2 linked regions of the Oreochromis niloticus genome follow. The protein of the gene in region 1 interacts with the protein of each later gene in a pairwise test. Links are inferred from orthologs where the notes say so. Each region holds a gene or a part of one and is shown on either strand. Other genes may lie near its edges.

Region 1 (10,392 bases):
ATTTTCTGTATGTAGCTATGAGCCTCACTGTGGTTGCCTTGACTAACTGCATGTTGTGTCCTCTCTGTCTTGCTGTGCTCAAAATCAATTGTGTGCAATGTTCTCAAGCTCCTCCCCCAGCAACCCCGAGACTTGATCCCTCGGCTGTGCGGACCTATTCATGTTAACTACTCTCTACTTACTAACAGGAGCGTTAATGCTGACAGGTAAGCAAACAGAAGCTCGACAGGATACTGTGCATTGTAGCATTGTAGGACCGTGACTCTAACTTTCAAGAGGCAATTAACAAAAGGTGTGCAAGCTAAGCCTAAAAGTTTACTACTGCGTGTACAGTAGATCAATCAAAGCAGAAGCTGTATCCAAAATTTTAATCATCATCATTCAATTCAGTTCTTTTTAATAGAGAGAGAGCTAAATCACAATAAGAGTTGCCTCAAGGCGTGTATATTGTAATGTAACGATGCCTTCTATGAGCAAGCACTTGGCGATAGTGGGAAGGAAAAACTCCCTTTTAACAGGAAGAAGCCTCCTGCAGAACCAGGCTCAGGGAGACAGGACAAAAGAAACACTGTGGAAGAGAGCTAAAGACTGACAGCGTCTTGTCATCACCTACCTGAGCTGGTGGGTGGCGTTAACACCCAAGTAGAGAAATACGACGGCTCGAGAAAGTAGGATTTTCTAATTCATACCATAGTTGCAGTTACCAAAAATCTTGGATGAGTTTGAATCCTGGTGACCTTGAACTCAAGGTCACGGTCAGAAGTCAAGTTTTCGGAAAATCTTTGAATACAATAAATCAAGTAAGCTGTTATCTGGGATTTTGAAATTGATACCATAGTTGGATCTACTAGGAGACTGAGGGGTAGCTCTGGCAACCGCCAGTATTTTATGAATCAAGAAGCATGTGCAACTTAATTTTTCTTTTTTTTCCTATTCCACTTTCCTCATCTTCTTTTCTCTCTTCTAGTGCATTCTCATTACCTATATGGACATATGCTTGCGGCCTTTTGAGAGTGATATGCCAAATCTGGAGAGGGAGACCTGGGTACCTCACAGGGAAGGCTTCGTCCCTTTGTTGCCCAGCCTCACCTTCCAACTTTCACCTCTCACCTCTTCTTCGGACACGTGCAATACAGAGGCCAACTCTGACCTTTGAACTCTTGAGAGTGCACATTGGCTGCGCTCGCTGCTGTAATGGAGGCTCATCCTGGTCTCTCCCAGTTTACCCCCCGTGCTCCCAGTAGCCTTGTTGTTGTGGTTGTTGTGCTCCTGCTCCCCTGATCTCAGCTGTGGATTTTTTTCCTGGTTGTAATAGTCTCAACATGGCCAAGCCCAAACCAATCTTCCTGCGTCATCATGTCCTTTGCAAGAAAACAGCGTCAAAACGATTAAAGGAGATGGTGAGCAGGTGTTGGTTTGGATTTGAGAATGATGAATACTTGTATAAATGGCAGATCCCACCACACGTTACCCCTCTACCGGTTATGCAAGGTATTACTCATTTATCTCTGTACATAAAATGGATGACTTATGTTTTTTATAGAAATATTATATATAAATATATATATATAAATATATATATATTGGGAATATATATGGAAAACAATATAATATTGCTGTATGAAACCCAATGCCCTGTATTCAATAGTGACTGTTCTCTCTCTCTTTCTCTTTCTTTCTCTTTCTCTCTGTGTCGGACCTTCGTGTGTCTTTTGCTGTATGCTGTACGTGTGTGAATCGTTGGTGGGAGGGACTCACTAAGGGAGGTGTGTGTTTCCACAAGGACTCTTCACAGGTTCATGGGTCCAATATCAGACTTCTCTCTTTGCCTCTTCTCCCATTCCTTCTTTTTTCCTTCTCTTCCTTCTCTTTTAACACAATGTAGCTGTTGCCTCTCCTTTCTCTGCCTCTCTCGCCTTCTGTATGACACTATGTAGCCTAGAATAGAGAGAATCCTTTAATATGAAGTGTGTGTGTGTGAGAGAGAGAGTGTGAGAGTGTGTGACTAAATGAGTCTCTGTGCTTGAGACTAGTAGATTTCGTGTGAAAAGGCCGGCCCCAGCCATGCGACCATGACTTTCTCTGTGGATGGTAGTGTGACCACTGTAGCTCTTCTCTGTTGATTCCTTACATTCTCTCAAAATCAAACTGTAAACTGCTGCTCAACATCAGCCAATGAAATCCACATGAAACTGCTCCACGTGACAGACTTGTCTAATCTTGCTCTGATTGAGCAGTCAGTACTCTTGGCTCACCAACTCCTCATCCAATAAGAACACAGCAAATGAACCAGTGAAGTGCTGGATGGGTGTACAATCTTTTTCTTTTTCTTTTTTTTTTGAAAGTTTTTCCAAGGTGTCTAAAAGGTGTAACGTGCTATGTGGCAGCTATGAGTACTGTGTCTTTATTCCAGGTGTGAAACAATGCTGACAAATCAAGATTTTATTATTTGGCTATTTAAAAAGAAGTGTAATGTATTTATGACACTATATAGACATAAGTAAAGCTGTTTTTTAAAGATTTGGTATCCTGTGTTCCTTGTTAAGTTATATGTGCCAGCGTATTGTATTATAGGCTAAAAACAACACTGGACAGCGTATTGAAAATGGTCTTTATTGTAAGAATTAAACAGAAAATATCACTTTTCAGAACATCTACAAATACACAACAATCTTAGTTATAAAAGTCCAAAATAAGTTAGCAAAAAAATAAAAATGGCAAATCCACTCTGTAGAAAAAGGGAACGTATTTACATCACTAGCATTCATAATCAGTTTAAATTAAGCAGATCTTGGTCAAAACTGCCATGGTACATATTGGCCCCACAAATAAACTCTTGTTTTTTAAGCATTAAAACTCACACACACAAAAAAAATGAATGAAAGATTAGGGAAAGCATTTGAAGAGGAAATCTTAAATTAAGTAAGGAAAGAAAACTGGATTTGTCATTCCTCTGTGGCTCTATAAATCTGGAGGCAAGCCTAACAGGGATCACGTGTAGTAAATATGTGTTGGGTTCATGCAGCAAAGTCTTTGAATCTCCTGTAGCTTTGACAAACAGGTCTGGAACATTGCATAATACAGGAAATAAAGGGAACAAAGCCTCAATGTGAACAGGAAAAGTCAGTTTGGCTAGCTGGCCCGTGGATCAACAGAGCTGCAATACTCGTCAAATGGAAACATTTTGTAATTTGGCATAAGACAAAATAATTTAATCAGCAGAAGCACAAAATAGACATAATTTAGGATTAAAGGTCACTTTGCTTTTTGTTTGAGGCTCGCTGTGCACCTACTGGCCGGCTGGTCTGAGGGTCTATTTGGGAATGTCCACAGGAAAGGCCACAGGTCCATCTGCTGCAGAGATGCTGTCCACAATGGAGGTCAAGGCCCGCATGTTCCCCTGCTCTGGAGAGTCTGCAGCGCTCAGGAGATCTGCAAAAAGACCCAGTTAGACACTAAGTATCTGTAAAGGTGCTGCCTGGTCTACCTAGTTTAATGGGACTAAGTGACCTGTGCTTACCCTCGCTGCTGTAGCTCTGCGTGCACTGCTCTGGAGTGCTGCTCCACTCCGGGCTGCTGCAGCAGGTGCTGCCTGAACTGGGCTCGCTTGACGACGACACCTGTTGCCATGGAGATGCACACACACAAGTTGCTGTCAGTCACTCTGTTATGATACAGCACGCCACACAGAAATACAACACACACTAAAGTGCAGTGTACTACCACAAATGCACATATAGTTAATGCATCCCGTGACCCCACTCAGAGGCAAATGTACACAATGAAAAAGACTTTCCATTACTACGACGCCTGTCACAGGAGTTCTTGTCAGTGTCTTTAAAAACACTAATGAGCTACACTGCATCATGTTTTTAAAAACCTTTTAAAACACAACATTTTTGCTCATTATATGGCTGAATACATATGCATAACATCAAACCTTATCCAGAATGAATAAATCAAAAGGAACATGACCAGATAATCAAATTTACACATTTTTGATTTGACATTTTACCCCAGTCATTGTTTAATGTAGTATTTATCTTTCTCTTTACTGTACCGCTCATTTTTCTCCCATATCTTCTGCCACTTTCCAACTAGTGCTGTTCCCAACTCTGTTTCCCTCTTGGCTGTTTTCTCTGTTTTTTTGAATTTCTCCCTTCCCTCATCCTGTCTCTGTCCTACTTACTCTGGGCTGAGTTGGGCTGGGCCGGTAGAGCAAACCCTGCTGTCCTGTCTCAGTGTCCTGCTGGTTGAGGGAGGACACCAGGGCTTGGAGCCTTTCAATATACTGGATGGCGCTCCGCAAGATCTCAACCTTGGGCAGCCTCTGGTTGGGGTTCATCAGCGTGCTCCTCTTCAAAGCATCGAAGGCCTCGTTCACCTTCTTTAGGCGTCTCTTCTCCCTCAGTGTGGCTGCTCGCCGGCGGTCCATGGTCACTGTCTTCCTTTTACACAGCTTACAGGCCCAGGGAAGACACTGACCTGGGCAGTGGGGCTCGGAGTGAGGCGACATGCTGGATGGAGAGGCTTTGTCCTCGGTACCTGTCACTCCAACTCCAACACCCCCAGACAGGTTCCCACACAAGCCCATCATGGAGTTCCTGTCCTGGTAGCCAGCTTGGTCATACGCCCCGGGCAGGCGAGAGGGGAAGTAGCTGTCCCCTCCTTCATAGAAGCGCTGGTCAGGGAAGAAATAAGGGTTGGTCTCAAAAAGCTCCATACTGGACAGTTGTGGTCTGGATACAAGGGAACAAAGATCCCAGCTTCCCTAGGAACTAGTCTTCAGTATGCGCTCTTCTGTCCTGTGTCTGGAGTTTGCGTTGGAGTGTACGTGTGTGCGGCTATCTTCTTCCCGGCCTGAGTTTGTGATGAGTGGAAGACGTGTGGAGAGCAACTGGTGTGGAGCAACTGTAGGCTGGCATTTAAACCCCTCTGCCTTCTGCTGGATCACAGGGTTAAATTTAGCACGAGCCCCCAGAAACCTGACACGACGTTTAGCTGTTGCTGCACATCTACACATCACATCTCTGTTTGGCCCTGCTCTCTAGGGCTTTAAGGCCCAATTGTACGCGTGCGTGTTTTTCTGTGGGTTTGTGCGCTCATGTATTTCTTAAGAGGCCAGGACATGATCAGGTTGAAATGGGAGAGACAGCCTCAGATCAAAGGTGTCCATCTTAGTAAGTTAATCCCAGACTTGCGTCCCCTTCCGAACATGAAGAGTTCCATCATTAAGTGGGGAGGCAGAAGGGACATTCTGGAAACAGCTGTCACTTCTGCTGGGAGCCAGTGGCACACAGTGACAATACGTTGTTTGACTTCAGGTTTTTGATGGGAAGTCAATGAGGCAAGAGACTGTTGTTTACTCTGGACCTCTGTGAAGCACTGTCAGACTCATAATGCGATCAACTTGGTCAATACCAAAAAAAGCTTAGGTGACATTGTTCCTGTGGTTTATGTAACTGCATTCATATCCACTGACTTTCATCCTGAGACGATTGCACTATGTGATGCAAGTGACCTTCTGAGCTATACTAGCCTCAGAACCAGGCAGGTCTGTGCAGGAACCATGAGCAGAGTGAGCTGCTAGGCTGACGCTGGCTCACATTACTCCCAGAATTTAAGGGACAGTAATGAGTCAGCCACACAGAGGGAATGGCCTTGGTTGTCCTGACCTCTTCCAGCAAGTCATAGCATTAGCTTAGCCACTGGGTGTTAATCCTTCCAGGACATGTCTCACCTCGTAGCTCATCAGCTAATTCTGACTAGCTTCCGCTAACATTGCAGCACAGCCAAAACACACACTTCTGTCAGCAGAGAAGTGGCCTGGAGTGACAGGCATATCATGAGGAGTGTTACATGAGTCTGTGCTCTATTTCTTTACAATACGTTTATCACAGTAATATAATACCTCTCAGGAGATGTTTTGGAAGAGACAAATTGCTAGCAGTTTCCTAGTAACCACAGTTCATTAAACTTAGAGGGTTGAAAGGTCTGGTGAATACCAATGCCATTGAGGCTTTAAGTTATTCTCCAACCAATGAAAGAGTAAATACAAGTTTTTTGAAACAAAAGTAAACAATACTATATCAGTGGATACCATGAGTTCAATATTTAAAATAGAGAAAATGAAGAAGAACTAAGGTCTTTATGGTGTCACGATAAGATGTGAAAAGCTAGGTTTTATACTTTTCCTGCTTATAAAATTAAAGAACAGCAAAAATTCTGTCACTTCACCTACTTCCAAGGTGCGTGGAGAGGATGAGAAACTCACAACGCAGGGACTCGAGCAACACTTAAGAGTATGACCCTGATGAAGGCCACAAGCCGAAACGCGTTGGTCATTTAATAAAGTTGTTCCTCTTTACTTTTAAGTGTTGCTGGAGTCCCTGTGTTATAAAATTAAAGAACACATTATTAATTCCTGTCTTATGTGAAAATTTTGAAAGTTCGACATACCAAGGAGCCTATCCTTTTTTAAAGCTGCTTTTAATATTTAAACTACACCAGTGTAAAACCTTCTTACATGTTAGCTTGCAAGCTAACACTATATTGTAATTTAGTTCTCTCTCTAGACCTCTACCATCCAGATCTTGTTGTTGAAACTGAGACTAGGCAACAATTTTCCAGTTTTCTATTGTCCAATTTTGTGAGCCCTTGCATATTATAAGGTTTGATGAGATGCTCTCCTGCATAGCTTGGTTGCAACAAGTAAGTTTCTGTTGTGTTCCTATCAGCTCAAACCAGTCTGTCTATTCTCCTCTAACATCAACAAGGTGTCAACAAGGCCTTTTCACCCAGATGAAAATCTACATCAAAAAAATACATATTTTTATTGCTCAGATTAATTTTTTATTGTTGAGTTTCTGACTTTTTTCCACAAGCAGCGACAAGCTCACACAGACAAACCTTATTTCGGATGAAAGAACTCATTATAACTCATTTCCTCATTATGACTGCCCCTTAAAGCCTCTATTTATTTATTTTTATTGTGGATCAGCGTTGCCTAAAAATAACAGCAGCTTGTTTAAAAGAACATATTTATAGGCATGGTTCGTGGCAGATATTTTGACATTTCGTGTAAGAGAAAGCACAGGTGCAACCAATGATAGCTGATTTCCATTTAAGCGTTCCAGGGTTGTGCTGGTTCAAAGGGTTAATGATACACAATGGAACAGAGCCTCTTATTTCTGACCGTTTATTCTTTACCTGTGTTTTATATCATTTGGAAGGTAACAAACACAAAGTTTCAGTTAGACACAATCAAAACAAAAAAATCTTACAATGTGAATTATCTACAGGGAAGTTTCAGTCCTGGGATTAGGTGCCAGGCAGAGGTTTGGCAGGCCCGTCTGGTGGCTTGTGGTCTCCTCCTGGGGTTTGGGCTTGGGTTTGAGGCAGAGTGCACAGTCTTAGCTTGGCACGGGGCTGGGTCGGCTGTCAGGTTAGTCTGTGATGGATCGTCACTGATGGTGGAGTGAGTACAAAGAAGCCTGTGTTGGACTCAGGGGTACAGCAAGGAGGGGGTTTGCAGTGTGTCAGAATCACTCATAACCCTCTGTCATCTTAACCCATTGTCAGCAGAACTAGAGAAGTGTGTGTGTGTGTGTGTGTCCCTCAGTATTTGAAGTGAACACTTAAGATACAGAACAGTTTGTTTACCTGTGGTTTGTTAATACTGTACTTTATTTTCCATCTTAAAATAGGCCAAACCAGTGAAAAATAGGCTGGCTCTAATTTAATTATAATTGATTGGCCACATGTAAGAAATAATGCAAAAAAATATAAAAAATTAATACCTATTGTGACATTTGGATTTATTCTAAGTATCAGAGCTATTGATTAAATTACTAAATAAATATTAATAATATAATATAATAATGTATTTCTTGTCCAGAGTGTTTAAGGGTCCCCTTGTGTGCAGCAGGGGGGGTGTTGCCCTGTCACTGGCAACACTGTTCCACTTCTCCTCAGTGACAAGCAACAGCACATTGTGGGACAGCTGAGCTCTGGGGGAGGAGGGAGGGATCAGTCCTCCTCACCCCAGGTTAGCCTCAAGATTTCCAGTGACCTGGAGAGCTGTCATCTGAGTGCAGTCGGGAAATCTCAGATATGTAAGAGGAGAATAACATAACAACAGCGAGGAACTGTTTATTAGAGGTGGCTAAGCCAGGTCTTCCATCCAGTGAGATACATTACGATATAAGACGCACAACAGGATACACAAGTTGTTTAAACAAATAAAATACATGCTTTTGTTTCTACTTCATTTGGATGTTCCCATAATAATTGGCAATTTAGTGTCCAGCATGAGCGCTAACCTATTATTTAGACTGAGAATTGGAAGGAAGTAGAATCATTCAATTTTGACTTTTGCTTGAAATTTTGTGAACACTTTAGAAACAACCTTTTTTGGCTTCTTTGTTACCTGCCAGGCTATGATCCATCTTGCTGCTGCAGAGATCTTTTTTTTTTTTTTTTTGATCAAGCACTCCTGGGCAGTGTAACAATGATCTTCAATTTTTCTCCATTTACGCCATCTGTCTGACTTTCTATTGTTGGACTAGAAAGTGCAGCAATAGTTCTGTAACCTTTTCCAGCCTGGTGGGCTTCAATAAGCCTTTTTCTAAGGGACCTTAGAAATCTCATTTGTGCATGGGAAGATACAGTCCCTCCAACATGACAATGGATTTTTTTTTTCTTTAAAGAAAAAGGACTGAAGAAAGACGACTTTTTTTTCTTCTTGAAATTAACTTCTAATCCTCAATATGTTCATAGACTTGCTGGTGTATTTTTCTTACTCTATAAATAACAGTTATGTTCTGCTTGAATAACTGAGTTCTGTGTTTTACACTTTTAGGATTTGTGCAAAAAATCTGGTGACCTGCTCAGATGTCTAAATGTTTATTTAGATCATTCAGAACGAGTCGGAAAGTTTGACACTTTCAAGGAAAAAGACACAGGAAATTATTAATTATTGTTTTCCACATGCAAAAAATAAAGTCTCATTCCTGGCCTTGCGCTGAGTGTTTCTCTACTCCTGGAAAGGAATATTCTGTCTGAAATCCAGACTCATGCAGCATTATTATGTACTAGTTTCATGCCTTTGGGAGAGAGCATTGTCACCATAGTGACAGCAACACATGTCCAAGTCTGTCGTCTCAGAGACTGTCGCCATGAAAACTGCACATCCATTCCTAAACTCTTTGATATCAGAGCTTCCAGATTACGATGAGGTTATACTTACTATAGAACATTAATGTTGTATAGGATCATTATATGGAGATGTGACAGAGCAGCCCACTCCTCCTCGACAATCATCAGTGCATAAAACACAATGAGAGCAAATTAAAATATTCACGGTCAGATCTGATTACTGCCCTGCTGTGTCCCACTATTTCTGTTGAGTAATGACCCTTACATAAGCGATACAGTTTGACGACCCCCCCAAAGGTGATGTGACACTACTATGGCCTGGCTAATCATCAGGAGAATACTCCCATTCATTTATACTCAGAATGAAGTGCCCCACCTGTGTTTGCACAGGGCTCTGGAGGCCTGGAGAAAGCCTTCTAAGTCAGGGGAGGGGGAACAGTAGTTCTGTAGCCCAGCCATGCTGCTGGTCACTGGGGCTTTTATCGCAGAGTAATCCCCTACAACAAACAGAATGGCCGGCATGTGCATACGCAGCTGTCGCAGTCTTAGTGCAAGTGGTGTCATGTTAAATCACAGGAATGGACTGAGCCCCTGCACCATCCGCTGCCCTTCCCTTCGCTGGCATCCCACTCACTGAAAGGCTCCAGCACACACAGACAAATACACATACATACTCATGCCTATGTGCATAACCCACTTCCCACTAACATACTTTGCAGCACATGGCAGCCCAAAAGTTATTCCCTGTAAATAACTTGTGCCCCATTGCTACAAACAACCAGACTATTTCAATGACATATATTCAGAGGACTTATGATAATCAAAGCAGGTATCACAGGCAGGAAAACAAAGTGACATTTACACCCTGACACTTTCCAAGTATAAAGCACCATTAGCATAGCTCCTCTGGGAAATTCTGAATCCTGTCTGAAGGCAGGTATGTATATAGTATATACTGTTGAGGATGGCTATGTTTTAAACTATTTCCAGTTTTTCAGCCCAGCTCTGTTATCTTACTCTGCTACATTTCAATCATGCCCCTCGCTCCCCATCTATATCCTTATTTTTAATCTACACTATCTTCAGGCCTTCTTCCGTATTCCTGTCTTTGTTTTTCTCTGGCTCCAGTGACCTTCTCCCATGTCAGCAGAGGGACAAATTTAGCGGCCCAGTTTCTGGAGCGACCAAATAGTCGGACACAACAGAGGGAATGTGTGTATTTGTGTGTGTGTTTGT
Region 2 (11,670 bases), on another chromosome or scaffold:
TCTTTTCAGTTATACCCATGACATCGAGGCCCTCAGCTGCGATGAAGTGTTGATAGATGGCTCTGCACTGCTAGCTGAAGTGGGCGCCAGCCCTGAAGATCTAGCCAAAGCGATCAGAGCAGACATCAAGGAGAAAACGGGATGCTGTGCTTCAGTGGGCATGGGTAATTTGTTTGCCTAGTTCGTACTGTAAAATAGATCAAGGCTGCCGCTGCATTTTACAAAGTCTGACTAATCTGGTCTCTTCAGGGTCCAACATCCTTTTGGCTCGGCTGGCGACTCGTAAGGCCAAACCTGATGGCCAGTATTTCCTAAAGTCTGAAGAAGTGGATGATTTTATCAGGGACCTCCCGGTGACAAGCTTACCTGGTAGGTGTGCAGCACCACCTTCTGGTCAATCCATGGATATCAATTCTGTGTGGTAAAATACTCAGTCAAATGATGATGATCCTACTTTTTCAAGGTGTTGGGCCTGTTATGGGGAGAAAGCTGGCCCTCATGGGTGTGCGGTCCTGTGGTGACCTCCAACAAGTTTCTCTGTCTCAGCTGCAAAAGAAGTTTGGGCCCCGTACTGGACAGACTCTGTTCCGCTTCTGTAGGGGTCTAGACGACCGGCCAGTCCGCTATGAAAAGGAAAGGAAATCTGTCTCTGCTGAGATGAACTACAACATCCGCTTTACTCGGGTTAGACCTGCTGTTTGTCCTCCCTTCTGTGTCATGTGTTCTACTTCAACATGCCAGCTTTTTTTCCCCCTTCTAATCCTCTTTTGTATCACTCACCAGGTTGATGAGACGGAGTGTTTCCTGACTAATTTGTCCATGGAGGTGCAAAAACGTTTACAAGAAGCAGGTCTGCGGGGTCGAAGAGTCACCCTTAAAGTCATGGTTCGCAAAATTGGAGCGCCACTTGAACCTGCTAAATATGGTGGCCATGGCATATGTGATCATTTAGCCAAGTAAGAAAGAGATCGTTATTCTGTCCTTGTGTGTTACAACTAAATCTTCGTATTTTCTCCTCTCTTGTTTATCCTTACCACAGTTTCTTTGTAAGCTTATCTTTATCTGTCTCCCTTTCCATCAGGACCGTGATGCTCGCTCAGTCCACTGACAGTGGTCAGCTAATCGCTGCTGCAGTCATCAAGCTGTTCCACGCCATGAAGGTAGAGGTGCAGGACTTGAGAGGAGTTGGCATTCAGGTTCAGCTTCTTGAGGGACATCAGTCTGCAACACAGGACTGCCGAGGCCTGCGAGGACGCTCCATCAAAGAGATGCTGTTAGGCCAGGGATCGAGTGCCAGATCTAATAACCGAGGCGCGTTTGGTGTTTTTGATTCTGCTCGTCTTCATTGCTGTCTGTAAAAATCACTTATGTCTTGTAATATTATTACAGATGCTGCAGACGTACTTCAGGAGAAGATCGCTTCCTCTACAACAGTCCCAACAGCAAACTCCTTGCCATATCCTTTGTCACCTGCTGAGCCTGTACCCGGAACAAGCAAGGAACAACCAGCGTGCAGACAAACTCCAAAGCATTCTCGGACACGTCTCAACTTCAGTATCGAAGTCCCCTCCCCTTCACAGGTCAGGACTGGAGTGAAATGTCTGACTGGCAAAACAAAACCTAAATATTAACACACCTCTAACAAACTGTTTCCTAATTTTTTCCAAGGTGGATCGTTCTGTGTTGGAGGCCCTGCCTGCAGAGCTGAGAGAACAAGTGGAGCAGTCGTGGACCAGGAGAGATGGGAGGCCAAATAACTGCCATTCACCTGGTCCGCAGCTTTCCCCTCTCAGTTCTCATCCAGCCTCTCCCCCTCGTCCTCCCCTTGCAACCGTACCTGCACTGAATTATCCACCTGTAGGAACGTTGGTCCTGCAGATTCCAAACCAGCCAGAAAGTCCAGGAATTGTACTGGAACTGCCTAACTTCTCACAGGTGTGTATGCTATTAGATTTTTTTGTGATGGTTTGCCGGTGGTTTAATTTTACAGTCTAAAGTAGAGAGAAAATCAGGAAAAATTGGAAACTCTAGTTTCTGTTGTACTCTGTTCCACAGAAACATGTAGTGCCTTGGTGGCTTGTAGTAATTTTGCTTATTGGAACCTTTAAACAGCACAAAGTGCTGTTCTCTACTGGAAATGTGCCATGAACACATGAGTTGTGACTGAAGCAGATGGTCCCACAAGTTAAAGAAAACAAAAGCTGGTTTCATAGTTGGTAGTAAGTGAGCTTCCCATCTGTCTGACTGCAGGTCGATCCAGATGTGTTTGCTGCCCTTCCCAAAGAACTACAGGAGGAACTGAAAGCTGCCTACAGCCGTGCAACCGGTGTCCAACCTCAGGTGAAAATGTGTAAGTCAGCAGACGAATTTTCTGAAGGAGTGCTTTTCTTTTTGGTTGTTTGATTTTACTTTTTATTCTTTTAACCCTGATTTTATTATTTGATTTGATTTCTTGTTTGTTTGTTTGTTTGGCCTACTGGTTTCTCTGCAGTGGAGCAGAAGAATCCACTGCTGCAGCTAAAACAGTCTGGGGCAGGAATCGGCAACGGTCGGGTAAAGCGCCGCTACAAGAGAAAGAACGCAGTCAGTCCTCTTAAAAAAGGAGCTTCTCCACTCAAGAAGCGTCCAACAACAAACAGCCCAGCCAAAAGCCTGCCACCTACTGGAAAATCACGGGAACCAGTAAACATTCGAAAGGCAAGTTTGTCCTCTGCTCTATGCATAAAGATGCTGCCAACATGTGAAAGCATATGATTTAGTCGACTAATCTTTAAAAATTGCAACTTCTTTTCATTCCCAGACTGAAAATGGTCCCTCAACATCAGTTTCAAAACCAGAGGTCCCACCAGCCGTGGTTAAATTGGCTGCTCGTCCTCCTCCAGCACTGGCAGGAGCCTGTGACTTAACAGACATTAAAACACTGCTACGGGAATGGGTTACCACCATAACAGGTACACCGATGTGTTATGATGGCGTTTCCTCTGGTGCTGTTGTTGTTGTTGTTGTTGATGATTTTTATGGGTTTCCAAAAGTGCATCTTTATCTATGTATTTTTTATTTATTTATTTTTTAGAACCCATGGAGGAGGACATCTTGCAGGTGGTGAAATATTGCACTGACTTAATTGAGGACAAAGATTTGGAGAAGTTGGATTTGACTATAAAATACATGAAAAGGTTAGTTCTGTGCAGTTAAGATTCCTCAATTTAACTACCTTCCTTTTTCTTTGTTTTCAAGGTTTCACTCGCTTGTTATGCTTGAGCTTTGTTTTTGGGTTTTTTTCCTGCAGGCTCATGCAGCAGTCAGTGGAGTCTGTTTGGAGTATGGCTTTTGACTTCATCTTAGACAACGTGCAGGTGGTTTTGCAGCAGACTTACGGCAGCACCCTGAAGATAGCATGAAGAATGACGGGGTGCTCTCCTCGCTACGTGCGATCATTGTAAACAACACTTTTTTGATTTGTTAATTTCACAATACAAATCATGATGTCTAAATTCCGACTTATGAAAGATACAAATAATGGCTACACCTTTATGAGAAAGAGCCATGACAGTATTTTGGACAAACTGGTTGTTTTTATCACAGAACAATGATGATAGTAGCAGCTTTTTGGAAACTCACTTTCATTCACTCTTATTTTCCTACGACTCATTTTCATATGCAAGATTTTATTAAGGGCAAAAAAAACGCATTAAGGGTATCTGTTTTTTGTAGCACTGCAAAACTTTCAGCTGGTATTAGATCGCATACTCCTGTGGTGACCTGAGCATTAGCGCTGTAGATCAGCTTCAGAGATCTGTTTCCAGAGACAGTTCAGTTTCATTTTGGGTAAGAGAGTCGCAGAGAGTCAGATCTGGAGAGTGGGCCAGTTGTGTTAACGTGGCCAAAAAAGAAGAAGAAGGAAAAAATGATGTGAGCAGGCAGGTGATGACACATGCCACAGGTCAGTTTTTGTTTTTTGTTTGTTTGTTTGTTTATGCATGCGTCAGAATCTTAACACTGAACCCCACATTCACTGTGCACATAAATGTCCAAAAAGTTAAAAACAAGTATACTCCTCGTAGCATTCAACGGCTTTCTGGCTCGATCCTACCAACGAAGGCTGCTGTTATATCTCTGAGTCGTAGCTGGACTCTGAGACAAAACAATAACATCCGTTCCATCCAGGCCTGATTTCGAAATGTATTTTTTGTTTTCCTTTTGGTTTTTTCCCCCTCTTGAGCGTTAGAATCCGGTATGTTAAATTTTCCTTGCTTGGATACGTGATCATGTTAAAACAAAAAGTACATTTCAGCAGTTTTACAAACCGCTTACTTTGTAGCATTCTTTATACATAAGACATGTTTTCAGAAACGATTGGACAATGTTTTTTTTTTCCCCCATCATTGTTTTATCGGTGCTCTTTGCCACTAGCACTTATCTGCGAAGCATCTACTGCTGCATGCAGCAGTGTCGCTTTTTTTTCTTGTTTCTCGTTTCTTTCCAAAAAAAAGAAGTGCCAAACGCTGTTATTATACTGTGTAAATAATGTTTTAAAGATCTTTGTCTAAAGTTTTAAAAGAAAAAAACATGTATGTAGAGAAATTACCTCTTGTATTGTTTACCGGTAGTGGATTCTTAGTAACTGTCTCTAAATTGTAACTCTTTAAATGTTTCTAAGTGTTCCAACATGGAAATCAGAAGCTGGCCAAAGCACTTGAGGTGAGGTTAACTGTTGATTCTCAGTAGCACTCTGATATTGGAGGATGTCGACAGGGGTCATGGCAATCAATGAGTAGCCTATGCATTTCTGTTTTTTCTCACCTAACAATGAGATGTCCCTTCAAGACCACGTAACATTAAATAAAGCATTTAGTGTTTATCTGAACATCGAAACAATGCTGAATGTGCATAGGAAGAGGCGATCTGATTTTTAACTCCGTCAGCCACACTGTGCGATTCACACCCTCGAGACACTTTGTACGGCTTGCAGCTGTGTCACACTATTTGTGTGAGGTTTGACTTTAACAGCAGATGCAGCTGCTTGACTTGTGATCGCACCATGGAGGATAATTTGCTCGTGGTTAAAATGCGTGTTTTAAAAGATAATTTTGATATGCAAACCAAATCAATCGGTCATCTTTTGAAACTTGTTGAAATGAATGTAATTTAGAATGTGTGATTCACTTTAAAGACGTTGCTTCTCTTCACCTCTCACGTGTTTCCCCAGGGGAATGGCCAGAAGTTAAAATAAAATAATAATAATAAATTGGCCTGTCTTGTCTAATCTGGCTCGTGCCTGAAGACCTGAAGCTGTGAAACTTGTTTGTAAGTTTTCTAAACCTTGGTAATAAACTGTAAATTCTGTATTCATTTATTTGTCTTTTCCTTTCTATAAACTGGCTTTAAAAAGAACTTTCAGCTGATAGAATATGTTTATGAAAATTATCTTTCAGTGTGTCTGTTATGTTATTCCCAGGTCTGACAGTGATGAGCATATAAATGTGCTAGACATGTCTGTTAGAGATGTGTATTATTTTGATGCCAAAAAACATTGAATTTAATAACTTATTTTTGTATTGTTTAAATGGGATAAAGTTGACAAGCCACACTATGAAGATATGGGAAGGAGTTCTTGAAGCTAGGTTCAGGAGAGAAGTGAGGATCGACGAGCAGCAGTGTGGTTTCATGCCAAGAAAAAGCAGATCTTTAGTGCTTGCTCTTTCTTTTTCTGTCTTTGGGGGTCTAGAGAAGGCAAATGATCGGCTGGCAAGAGGAACTGTGGTACTGTACAAAAGGGTAAGTGGTAAAGAAGTATGTGAAGGTGGTGCAGGACAGTGAGACCATGGTCAGGTGTGCAGTAGGAGCGACAGATGGCTTGAAGATGGGGGATTACATGAAGAATTGATGAATATATAGGACAAAGGAGGTTGCATTTGGAGCTGCCAGGCAGAAGGAAAAGAGGAAGATCTCAGAGATGATCCACACGTGAACACATTAATTATTAAAATGAAATTTTATATATATATTTGTTTTTCATTTTAATAATAAAGTCCAAATTTCGAGATTAAACGCGAAATCCTAGTACTAGTTTTTGTAGAGGGTATAAGCCATGGCAACAGCTTTAATCTTCACATTTCGACTTTATTCTCAAAATAGCATTTCGATTTTTTTCCCTCTTAAAATGCTATTTCAAGGCTTACCTCGAAATTTCGACTTCATTCATGTTTTGCATATAAACTACAAATATTCTTCATAGATGAACGCACGGGATTTACTGCAAACAATATAACAATATATTTTTTCTTTAATACATCAGATGACAACTGAGCTTTTGGGTCCCAATAAACAAAAGCAGCAGTACAGCGTGAAAAAATATAACACACACACACACACACAAAATAAATTAATAAATAAAAAATAACCCGTAAAAAATAACCGAGTTGCCCGGATGTACTTCCCACGACGTCAGACGGGCCCGCTGTGACGTTGTATCCGCAGAGAAACGTTTCGTGCACGGGCTGAGGTGTTGACGAGCATCTGTCACCTTACTAGGTAATGTTTTAATAGCAGCTTGGTTATACTTTATATTTTCGACAAAACGCACAGTTGACGTTCATTTAAAAAATAAAAGATCAACAAAACTGTTTCCAAAACTGTTCCTGTGACGTTTGTTAACAATGGCGGGGCTAATGCTAGCTAGTTAAGATAGCAAGCAAACGCAGACTGAGGGTTTATATAGAGATTTTTGTTGAACTGCTGGCGTGTACTTTTCTTATTTTGTATTAGTTAGCTGCAGATACGTGAGAGGTACCCACCCTGTGTCTGTACCAGCTAACTGTAGGCACCACCGGGCAGAAACAAGGTGTGCCCCCCAGCCGTTACTGTGGCTTTGTCTGCGGCGTTAGCTAGCTAAAAGAGGAGCTCTCGGACCAATTTCTGTGTAAGCAACGTTGCTAACCTTACTTTGTTGTACGTACTTGATCACACCAGCTCACAGTGTAGGGCTAAAACAGGGTTTTCCCCATTGTAAAATTTTGGAACAAAGGCTATGACGAGATTCCTTTCTCTTTATTTTGCATCTTTGCGCAAAACAAAGCTTATAAATAAGTCATATGAATAAGTGAACTATTTCCAAGTCGTCATGCGCTCCATCACACTACCTTTGAACTTGTAGCCAGTGCAGTGTGGATGTCACATGACTGATACACATCAGCCACTGGCATTTGCAGAAAGCTTGTATCTGCACATATCGATATTAGGCACTGTGTTGTTGTTATTGCCGTGCTGTCTGGTGTCATGTCTCACCATTGCTTATCTGCCCATTTTCAAACAGAGTCAGGCAGCCATGGCTAACCAATCAATGGAAATCATAACAAAAGTTTTGGAGCAGTCAGCCAAGCTGGTGGAGGAGCAGGTGGATGCCCAGTTGGCCAAGCTGAATGAAATGGATGAAGATGATTTGGAGAGGCTGAAGGAAAGACGATTAGAGGCACTAAAAAAGGCCCAAAAACAGAAGCAGGTTTGTGGGACGTTTTATAATCACAGTAGCATTTTGCTGTGTTAATTTCGTAAAGCAGATAAAATGATTTGAATCACTGAGCAGATTCACTTATCAGCACTACAATTTGTAGTGATGTCAGTCAGTTCTTTGAAGGATCATAATAAAACACCTGGTGTCATGTGTATAGACTGTCTTGCTCTGAAGTTAGGCTACACAGCATTTGGTCTATTATTCAAACGGTTTAAAGAGTGTTTTCATTGTACTCAACTATAATAGCTTTTCTTGTATTTGTAACCTTTTGTTTTGCTTTTCAGGAGTGGTTGTCTAAAGGTCATGGGGAGTACAGAGAAATATCCAGTGAGAAAGACTTTTTCAGTGAAGTGAAAGACAGCAAGAATGCCGTGTGCCATTTCTACAGAAATTCAACCTTCAGGTAAGTCTAGAAAGTCACTAAATGATGCAACAGGACCATGAATTAGAAATGTAATGTAGTCCAAAAAACAAAAGAATCAGAGGTAGTTTATAGAAAATGAATATGTTCTGCAAATTAATGAATGTATTTATTAAAATCATCTTTTAAGACAAAATGACATTTCCTACGTGTGAAGTGTGTTTCAGTTATCTTTAACAATCAACATTGTGCCTTGTTTAGCGTCAGTTTTTTTACTCAGTCGCCACAGTATTAATCTGTTGATGTCAGACGTCTGAACTTGTCTCTCTGTCCTTAGATGTAAGATCCTCGACAAACACTTGGCCATCTTGGCAAAGAAGCATGTTGAGACCAAATTCATCAAACTGAATGCAGAGAAGGCCCCATTTCTGACAGAGAGGCTGCGCATCAAAGTTATTCCGACTCTGGCTTTGCTTATTGACGGAAAAACAAAGGACTATGTGGTCGGATTCACTGACCTGGGAAACACAGACGAGTTCACCACAGAGATGCTCGAATGGAGACTTGGCTGCGCGGACGTTATTAACTACAGGTGAGACGTGCAGTAGACTCACTCGAGCACCTTATGTGTCGTGTATGAAAACGTTTTATCTAACACGATCCCTTTTTCCTGTTTCTAGTGGCAACCTGAGGGAGCCCCCAACAGCGACACAGAGATCAGGAACAAAGTTCACAAAAGTGGAGAAGAAAACCATCAGAGGGCGAGGTTACGACTCGGATTCTGAAGATGACTGAAGAGGCTGGACAGTTGTCGGGTTTACTCTCTCAGGGCTACCTCATTACTAAAACTCCAGCAGACAGCCCACTTCCTTTTTTTCCCTCTCTTCTATCAGTGACTTAATTAAAAAAATAGAAATTACTAACCCGATCCACTGATTCATTTTATTTAAAAAGCACGTTTGTTTCAGCCTTATTTAAGGACTTATCCACCATGATTTATATTGGAATATCTGAGTAATAAAATGTATGGTTCATGAACGAGGGAGCACACTGAGCGACCACTAGCTGTTAGCTGTGTTTTGTTTTTCTTGATTTTCAGGTGTAATCATTTATTGTAGACAGCTGTCTCACGCACTTTCCTGTAACCTTTGTACGTCTCGTGTTGGAACCAAGTTCATGGTGCGTGTGAGTGCCAAGATCATCTTTGAAGAGCAAAATAAATTTTTACATGACATTTCATGGTAGCATGAGTTTGACCTAACTAATGCAGACTTAATAAAAACAAGAAAAGGATGGAAAAAAAACTGCTTGTGTATTTTTTGTTACTTCTTCAGGGTTAGAGGCAGCGTATTTGCAAGAGTTGTATGTTGCCGTTATGGATGAAAATAATACATCCTTAAACTCACTGGATACTTTTGTCTTCAGAACAGTCTAAATTTTTTCATAGCATAGATTCAACATGGTTCAACCTTGGAGAAGGTTGTGTTGGAAAATCCCAGAATATAAGCAGTTTCTGAAATACTCAGACTACACTGTTTGGCACAAACAACCATGCCACACTCAATCACCTTGAGGCATTCTGATACTGCAGCAGGCTGTAATGACCATGTCTACATGCATTGAGTTGCTGCCATGTGATTGGCTGATTAAATATTTGGATTAGCAAGCAGTACAACATATGCACCTAATGAAGTGACCAGTATAATTACTGGCAATGTTTTTTTGTGAGCCTTTGTTCTTAAAAAACAAAATTGCTGTTTTTGCCTTTAAACCAAAAACTATAACCATGTAAAAACATTTTAAGGGTGCAGATTATTTGTAGCTGATAAGACTGGCTGGTGCTATGCTGAGCACGTTGAGTATTACTACAAAACCGAACACTTGATTGTGCAACCGCAACACAAAGGGGGCCCTCGATTTCTATAAATAGCTGTTTGGCAGTCTGATACAACTGAGGTGGTGAGCAAAAACCTTGTCTTTGGGATTTAGGAAGTCATTTTTAATTTTAACAATCTGCCCCAGAAAACTTGTTAAATTATCTCAGAAGGCAAATTTTACTTTTTACCAAATTACTAGCTGTCTGTATAATTAATATGCTGGTATTCAAATGACTAAACTGTTGATTTGTAGAAAAAATAATAATAATAAACCAAGTTTTCTGGAAAAGTTTAATGAGTAATTCCTGAATTAACTCAAACTTAGAACAGTGGGTTTGCACAGAGTTGAATTTTTCAGATGCGACGTTAATGTCGGTATTCCTGCTTCATCAGGGTGGCACTTTGCTCAATCATTTGTGAGACAGGTTGATGAGAACATTTAATCATATTCATCTTCAGCTCAGCATCAAAACACAGGAAACAGCAATCCAGAAGTCTGGTTGGTGCCACGGCTTTCTCTCATTGCAGAGAGAATGACAACAGGACGTTTTCCAGGACATTCACACACGCAACAGTGGAGCTAAGATTCGATCGCCTTGTTGTCTACAGGTTGGAGGAGGCGGTGTACAATAAGTTCTCCTTTGCTGTTGATGTATGCATCAGCCATGTCATGCTCAGCAGGGAGCCCATAGGGAGTTTTTAGCGGCTGTATCCTGAAGGTATCAGAAAGAGATGGCAAAGGAGATATAACAGTATAGATATATAGGTATCTCAGGCAACCTCAATTTGAAAAAAACTAACCTTTTTTTAATAGTACTTTAAGAGTGGTGTGTTACTACTTTTAGTTAATTAATCCTACCTTACAAGGTGCTTGACAAACTTCAGTTGACTGTTGACTGCAGGAGTATTTTTATGAATTACGGGGACGTGAGCCTAAATCCGAGACAAAGACAGAACAAAATTATTCCAAAAGATAAAGGCTGTGAGCGTCTCTGCATGAGGTGACACACTTCTGTACAGCTCATTTATCCTGATCAGAGCTCCTTCAGGGTACAAGTCACTGTTGAAAGATACTGAAAGATGCAAAGAATTAAATGGCTAGAAATTCCTGAACTAAAGCTGACAGCAGTGTTTTGTTGTATGTGCAAAAAATACTGAACATGATCCGGTTACATTAAGTTAATCCAAAAGTAAAACAAAAACGATCTGTAGCCTTTACAAAAAGGGAACCCAGTTTGGGGTCCTGTACAATGACAGAAATTTTACCTTTTGAAGCCCGAGGTGTTTTATCATCTCTTTCTCCCAGTATGGCCTTCGCAGCGCACTTTTGACCCGCGTCACTATGTGCAGCTTGTGCGGCTGGTCTGGATCACCACCATATTTCTCATGCTCTTTCGATCGCTCAGCAAAAATCTGTTAAGAAAATGCAGAATAAAGGATTATCATTATTCCATGGCAGGATTCATCTGTAATGACGGCCCTAAGGCAACACTAAAAATGCTGAGTAGCTAATAATCCCCCTAAACCATTTTGTCTACCGGACCTGCTGGAATTATACCCAAAATTACTTAATCCAAATACATATTAACGTAAAAGAATTAGATTTTGACACACACATGGGTAGGGTCACAAGACGTTACATACTTTAAGTGTTGCTAATTACTTTACAAATGTACAACATTATAGATTCTACATTTATTCTTACCTCTTGTGGGATTCTAGATTTGGAGAATTTGCTTCGTGCTGACACATACCACGCACATGGTGACAAAACTGGAGCTTCAGTCAGGGTCTATAACATATGCAAACAGAGAGAAGGTAAAAAGCAAAGCCCAGTACCATGGAAAATGTGTTTACATACATATACAGAAAATCTAAAAAGTTCTGTAGGGTTAGGTCTCAGAGATAGATTGCCGTTA

The links.
Region 2: the proteins of myog (region 1) and txndc9 interact in binary tests that used the Homo sapiens proteins (3 or more experiments, as listed by UniProt). The two-hybrid records come from large-scale screens. The link is inferred for Oreochromis niloticus from reciprocal best matches to the Homo sapiens genes MYOG and TXNDC9.

Annotation. Positions count from the first base shown.
Region 1 is NC_031970.2:25,638,209-25,648,600, forward strand, and holds myog (myogenin), read right to left. Parts: upstream 4,842-10,392; 5' UTR 4,724-4,841; coding exon 4,190-4,723; intron 3,621-4,189; coding exon 3,521-3,620; intron 3,433-3,520; coding exon 3,314-3,432; 3' UTR 2,601-3,313; downstream 1-2,600. Other genes in the region: ppfia4 (liprin-alpha-4), read left to right, coding at 109-167. UniProt on the Homo sapiens protein: Acts as a transcriptional activator that promotes transcription of muscle-specific target genes and plays a role in muscle differentiation, cell cycle exit and muscle atrophy.
Region 2 is NC_031987.2:21,409,687-21,421,356, reverse strand, and holds txndc9 (thioredoxin domain-containing protein 9), read left to right. Parts: upstream 1-6,400; 5' UTR 6,401-6,534; intron 6,535-7,315; 5' UTR 7,316-7,327; coding exon 7,328-7,501; intron 7,502-7,797; coding exon 7,798-7,916; intron 7,917-8,211; coding exon 8,212-8,466; intron 8,467-8,554; coding exon 8,555-8,669; 3' UTR 8,670-9,178; downstream 9,179-11,670. Other genes in the region: DNA repair protein REV1, read left to right, coding at 10-164, 250-369, 464-684, 784-956, 1,082-1,311, 1,390-1,580, 1,669-1,935, 2,251-2,350 and 4 more; mrpl30 (large ribosomal subunit protein uL30m), read right to left, coding at 10,332-10,464, 10,611-10,684, 11,018-11,164, 11,457-11,543. UniProt on the Homo sapiens protein: Significantly diminishes the chaperonin TCP1 complex ATPase activity, thus negatively impacts protein folding, including that of actin or tubulin.